Callithrix jacchus: one gene and its partner. The protein of the gene in region 1 interacts with the protein of each later gene in a pairwise test. Links are inferred from orthologs where the notes say so. Each region holds a gene or a part of one and is shown on either strand. Other genes may lie near its edges.

What was found.
Region 2: the proteins of PEX16 (region 1) and PEX3 interact in binary tests that used the Homo sapiens proteins (3 or more experiments, as listed by UniProt). The link is inferred for Callithrix jacchus from reciprocal best matches to the Homo sapiens genes PEX16 and PEX3.

Annotation. Positions count from the first base shown.
Region 1 is NC_133511.1:110,936,876-110,939,641, forward strand, and holds part of PEX16 (peroxisomal biogenesis factor 16), read right to left. Parts: intron 2,349-2,766; coding exon 2,268-2,348; intron 2,156-2,267; coding exon 2,003-2,155; intron 1,891-2,002; coding exon 1,818-1,890; intron 1,626-1,817; coding exon 1,506-1,625; intron 1-1,505. UniProt on the Homo sapiens protein: Required for peroxisome membrane biogenesis. May play a role in early stages of peroxisome assembly. Can recruit other peroxisomal proteins, such as PEX3 and PMP34, to de novo peroxisomes derived from the endoplasmic reticulum (ER).
Region 2 is NC_133505.1:150,250,580-150,254,404, reverse strand, and holds part of PEX3 (peroxisomal biogenesis factor 3), read right to left. Parts: intron 3,051-3,825; coding exon 2,926-3,050; intron 2,626-2,925; coding exon 2,559-2,625; intron 2,452-2,558; coding exon 2,397-2,451; intron 1,844-2,396; coding exon 1,675-1,843; intron 1-1,674. UniProt on the Homo sapiens protein: Involved in peroxisome biosynthesis and integrity. Assembles membrane vesicles before the matrix proteins are translocated. As a docking factor for PEX19, is necessary for the import of peroxisomal membrane proteins in the peroxisomes.

The DNA of each region.
Region 1 (2,766 bases):
CCTGGCTAATTTTTGTATTTTTAGTAGAGACTGAGTCTCACTGTGTTGCCCAGGCTGGTCTCAAACTCCTTGCCTCAAGCAATCCTCCCACCTCAGCCTCCCAAAGTGTTGGGATTACAGGTGTGAAGCATAACACCCAGCTAAACTATGCATTTTTTGTTTGTTTGTTTTTCTTTTCTTTTTTTTTTTTGAGACTGAGTTTCGCTCTCGTTACCCAGGCTGGAGTGCAATGGCGCGATCTCGGCTCACCGCAACCTCCGCCTCCTGGGTTCAGGCAATTCTCCTGCCTCAGCCTCCTGAGTAGCTGGAACTACTGGTGCACATCACCATGTCTGCCTAATTTATTATTATTTTTTTTTTAATTAAAAAAATTTTTTTTTTTTTGAGACGGAGTTTTTGCTCTTGTTACCCAGGCTGGAGTGCAATGGCGCAATCTCGGCTCATCGCAACCTCCGCCTCCTGGGTTCAGGCAATTCTCCTGCCTCAGCCTCCTGAGTTACTGGGATTACAGGCACGCGCCACCATGCCCAGCTAATTTTTTGTATTTTTAGTAGAGATGGGGTTTCACCATGTTGGCCAGAGTGGTCTCGATCTCTGCACCTCATGATCCACCCGCCTCCGCCTCCCAAAGTGCTGGGATTACAGGCGTGAGCCACCACGCCCAGCCTATTTTAATTTTTTTGTAGAGATGGGCTGCCCAGGCTGGTCTCAAACTCCTAGCCTCAAGCAAACCTCCTGCCTTGGCCTCCCAAAGTGCTAGGAATATAGGTGTGAGCCACTGCTGCCCAGCCTATGCCAGCTTTCAAGCAGTTACTAGGTCCTAGACAAAGGGGGTCCCAGGAGCCTTGTCTATCTCACAGTCCCAGCTGCTGCATAGGGTTCCATCAGACTGCAGTCTAACCTCACACAGTCACGGTGGCAGGCCTGTGGAAGAACTGGTCCCAAGCTGCTCCTTGTTCAACCCAGCAGGCCTCCCCAAGGCTGGGAGCTCTGGACCCTCACAGGCGACTGGAGGCTGGGCCAGGCAGGGAAGACCAGGGGAGACTATGCAGCTGGGATCTGGCTCTACCGCTGGCTAACTGGGTAGCTTTGTTTAAGTTGCCCATTGTTTTTGAACTTCCAGTGCCTCCTCTGAGAAGTGAGGATAAGCCAAACTATTTGGCAGGAAGAAGAGGAAATGAACTAGAGGTCATTGGGCATGCGCACCTGCCGCCGTCCCTGTGGGCCGCCCTGCAATGCCCTCACCTGGCCCTCAGTGCCTCTCCTGCCAACCGTGTTTAAGTGCATGCTCGTGTGGTCTGATGGCCCAGAGAGCTCTGCAGGTGGGGCTGGGCTGGCATCTGGTGACTGCCACCCAGACAGCACACAGCAGGTGCTCAGTGAACCCTGGACAAGGCACTGGGGAACGAAAGTGCCAACAGGGACCAGAACACCAGTGCCCACTTGCCAGCCCTCTCCCTGGCTGAGGGTGGGCCTGGCCATTCTGGGAGGGGTTGGGTGCTTACTCAGAGAAGCGGTCATAGAACGGAGAGCGGAGCAGGTAGTACAGCAGCAGGATGGTCCGGCGCCGCAGCTCCCGCCGCTCCCTCCGGGTCAGGCCCTTCCTGTCACTCAGGAGGCTCAGGCTGGGGGGCAGGGAGGACAAGGTCAGGGCCAGGGTCATGATCTGGGCCCACAGAAGGGGAGGAGTCACAGGCTGTGTGTGCAGAGGGGTAGAAACAGGAGGGGCAAGGGCTGCTGCCGTCCCACCTAGGTGGTGCCAGGATTGTAGCAGAAAGCCTAGTGGAGAGTGGAGCCCTGGGCAGGCCCAGGCTCACCTGGTCACGTCCACAACACCAGCCAGGAGCCAAGGTTTCCATGACCTCTGACCCCATAGGCCCAGGCTGAGCACTGACGGCCAAGGCGTCAAGGATGTCTCCGGCACAGGGGCGCAGCTCAGCGCACTCCCCACTCAATCCCCAGCCCGCAGTGCCAGCCCTATCCTGCCCCGCGCTAAGGATACAGTGCAGCAGTGGCCGGGCAATGTACAAGGACTCTGCGATGGTCTCCTGCAGCCCCAGGGGGGTGGGGGTCGCACTCAGCTCCTCAGGGTGCTGCTGCTGCCATCCCTCCCGCTGCTGGGGGGCTCCCCAGTGCCTGGAGTGCAGGGACGGTGCTAGAACACAAGGGACGCAGATGAGTGAGCCAGGCCCGAGCTGAGGTAGGGGAAAGTGGCCGCTGACTGAAGCCAGTCCCATAGGCCCAGGCAAACCACTTCCTCCACTTACTGTTCTGGAGGGTTCGTACCACCCGGTTTGACCGCTTCCCCACGTAGGAGTGCTCGTGGCTGCCAGGGCTGTGGTCACCATCTAGCAGGGATAGACAGAAGGCCATACCGTCAGAGGGACATGCTTCCAGTAGACCCTGCAAGGAACATGCATTCAGTGAGTGCTCAGGAGCTAAGGGGAGAATGGATCCCCTTGTACTGTGGCGGCAGCTGAGTGAAGGGAACTACAACCCGGGCGGTAGCTCAGCACGAGGCCCGTCCAGAGGGGGAAGCAGCCTGCAGCCCGCCCTGGCCTGAGGAAAGCTCATCATAGCTATGGCTAGAGCCAGCCTCCTGGAACCCGTGGACAGGCAAGGTAGGGAGGGCCCAGTCTGACCACATCTATGGGGAACACAGCACCAGAGGGGCCATCTTCTCTCAATCCTTTGCTTTCAAAGCAATCATGATGAGAAGCAATGAACCACCCCTACTCAGTGTTCAGAGAGTGAGGCCCAGAGGCT
Region 2 (3,825 bases), on another chromosome or scaffold:
TCATCCAGGTTGGAGTGCCGTGGCATGATCATAGCTCAGACAACCTCGAACTACTGGGCTCAAGTGATCTTCCAGCCTCAGCTTCCTAAATAGTAGCTAGGACTACAGGCATGGGCCACCATGCTAATTTTTAATTTTTTTTTTGTTTTTGGTAGGTATAGGGTCTTGTTATGTTTCCCAGGCTGGTCTTAAACTCCTGGCCTCAAGCCATCCTCTTGCTTGGCCTCCCAAAGCATTTTCTTTTAAGAGACAGAGCTCACTGTGTTGCCCAGGCTGGAATGCAATGGTGCAACCATAGCACACCACAGCCTTGAACTCTGAGCTTAAAAAATCTTCCCTTCTTAGCCTTTTGAGTAGCTGGGACTATAACCATGTACCACTATGCCCATTTGGCTGATTTTTTAAATTTTAATTTTTGGAGACAGGATTTTGCTTTGTTGCCCAGGCTAGTCATGAACTCCTGGACTCACATGATCCTCCCACCTCAACCTCCCATGTTTTTTTCTTTTATCAGTATACATGTGTGTCTTTTTTCATCAATCTAATCTGAAACTCTATGTGTCCTTTCAATCTTAAATTTCAGGTTGTAATTCAGTTCAGTAAGATCTGGTCCATCATTTTTCTCTTCATCTTCTTTCTTTGAATTGTTTTCTCTGTAGTTCTGTTTTGAATTCTGAAAACATAAATTGATTTAGAGTCCTAAAAATATTTTTTAATACTCTTATTGTGTCTCCTTGAGATTCTATTTTATAAGTTTTCTCCTGTTTCATTAATTCTGTCCCATCTGTTCTGTTTGATCAGTTTTTGTCTTTATCTTTCAAGTTATAGGGTTTCCTTAAACGGAATGCAACATTTTTTTTTTTTTTTTTTTTTTTTTGCCTACTCATGAATGTAGGATCTCTCAGCAGCCAAACAGGTTCATCTTTGAGGTCTCTGGGAGTGGAAAATCCTTCAGGCAATGAAAACAAGGCATTCTGTTCTAACAGTGCCTCTATGCTGAGGTATGGCATAGGGGTCTCTCTGTTCTAAGGCTTTTCCAGTTGTCAATTGAGAGCTGTTCTCCCAATTACAAAGAATGGGTATAAGCCAGCAGACAAAATTTTTGGATTAGACTTTGTTTCTCAAGTGGATGACTATAATGTCCTCAGTCCATTTTTGTACTGCCATCATTAACTTTTTTAAAATGCAAAGGTGATTGTGTTACTGGACTGGTTAAAATCTACCTTTCTTTGTGTACAAATTGGAGTTCAGACTCCTTATCTTGGCATACAAAGCTCTTTATAATCTTGCCCTGACCTTTAGCTCTATGTTCTGATACTTGATCTGATACAAAAATATGTGTAGCCACACTAATAGAATTTGTATCTTCAGTTCCCCAAGTGTAATGGGCAGGTCTTACTAATTTTACATCTCCAATATGTATCACTCTGTCCACTGTTGCATACCTAATAATAAAAATGTACTGAATATCTAAAATTGTCACGTGCTTCTAATTAGAAATCAGTCATAATGGCAGTTTGTTTTAAATATTAATGGGGTTTTATTTCAATTATTGAAATATATACCTTTCAATTACTTACCTTTCAAGAGACTCAGAAATTGAAATTTCAAGACAGAGTAAAATTTTAAAAGTATAGAGTAACTGGTTTGATTAAATGGTTATGAATTAAGCACCTGCACTGCTAATGGAGTTTCTTCATCTGGCATCATATAATGGCATAATAAAGATTTGGATCCATCTTTATTAATCCAAGAAGAAGACTTATGCTGTTCAACGAGATTTCTGATTTCTTTTAGTTTTTGCTCCAAGTCCAAAAGGGACAAAGAATGTTTAAGAGAAACACTAGAAACAGAGAAAAGGGAATTGGGATAAATTAAAACTATACAACACATCCTATATACACTCTTTTCTTAACAGGCTACTGTCTAAAATCCTGTTTCTTCTGCTCACACCTGTAACTGCTGACTGGAATAGAATGGATTAAGAAATCAGCCACCAGTTAAGAGCCATTATTACAGAGCCAAGAAAAATATTTCTGTGGATTTCATAAGAGAATTCCTACTATAATTATAGATATTACTAGTATAAGTGTGAGGTAAAAGCCTCGGAGGCAGATTTTAAAGTAGGTCTCTTATCTCATGACCCAAATATTTCTGATTTGTATGGCAATCAATCAATAAACAATGAAATATTAAAACTTTCCCCTCTGAATACAAAGGTTGATACTGATGAAGAAAATAGATCCCACAAGGCAATATCCCAAGTTGGTATCTGATTAGATTACAGAGTTTCACAAACCACCATTTGTCAAGTCATTGACTTCACTAGAACAATTCTAATTTTCTTTCATTCATCAGAATCAGGAAGTCAGAAAAGTCAAAGAAAAATGCCTTACCTTCCTAAAATCTTCTGCACAGCTTGTTTAATGACAGTGATCAATTCTGTCAGGCCTATTAAAGAAAAAGCAAACTTAAAAGCCTTGCTTAGTTTAAAAATTCTTCAATAATACAAATAAATGAACTAAAATTAGTACAAAAGTCACAAGTAAGAATCTTACCATCTCCAAGAAGGTGTTGAATACTTGATAAATATTGCTGTTGGACATCTGGGGGAGCAAGAATTGTCTGTACAAAACAGAAATAAGGTTAAATTATCCAAGTTTTAAACTAGTAAATAAGTAATGTTTTCAATATAACTTTAGCTGAAATTTTTCAAGATCCAAAATGATGGGAAAATAATATTTTTTAAAACAACAAAAATTCTACTTTCCAAAGTATAAGAATTATTCATAATACTAAAAGTTCACAATCACATGAAATATAAAAAAATATTTATTTCATAGAAATTGGTATCAGGATAAATTAAGTTAAACTTTGAACCTCTTGAGGGAAAGGACAATGTCTATTTAAGTCTATTAAACTTACAGTGCCATTTTTGCCAACTGCTGCATTATCCAGGTAAATATATCCACCAATTATGTTTAACTGGACTCGCAAAAGAACAACCAACATACAGGTACTGTATACAGCCACGATACTTCTTGTGAAACCTTCATAGAGAAAAGAAAACCACTTGGTACTGTGATTAATATACATGTGTAAAATCATGAACCATTGCTATGGTTATTTTTTCATAAGATGACTTTTGAAAACATATTTATAACTGTTTCAGGTATAAAAATATATCAATTCAGAAGATTTCACAGTCTCTCCTTTTAAATAAAAAGTAGGTATGATCCCTTAATTGAGACAATAACCAATAAAATATATTAGGTGAAAGAGGTATATATTATCAGCTTAGAAAGGAAAACAAGGAAAAGTCTGGGAAGCACAAAGCATTGCAGCTTCAGAACTCTTACTTGTCAACAGACCTATTTTCAAGTAAGAGAAGAGGGCTGAGTGGAAGGTTAGGAAGAACTCTAGCCTTCAATGGCAGCTTGAGGAGGATGAGTCTGTTTAAGGAGTGGAGAAAGGTACAGAAAGACTAGGGAAGCTTGGTAAAACTGGCTTCTCAGTAGCCTAGGACAGACTGTTCAAAACAGAGGAGAGAGTGAAGGTGTTGACTAGTGAAGGTGTTGACTGTTGCCCAGAGTTCTAGCAGGAGGAAAATGTCCAGCAGATTTGGCAACACAGAACTTGTTACTGATGCTTGAGAGATCTGCTTGGGTGGAGACACAGGTGTGGAACCCAGGCTGTAGTGCATCAAAGCATGAGTGGGAGTGATGAGAAGGAAGGGAATGTAGAAATCTTGGTCATGGTCATAAGGATTAAGAAAAAGTACAAAAGCTGAAAGAAAATACAGGGAACTCGAGACATTTAATTTGT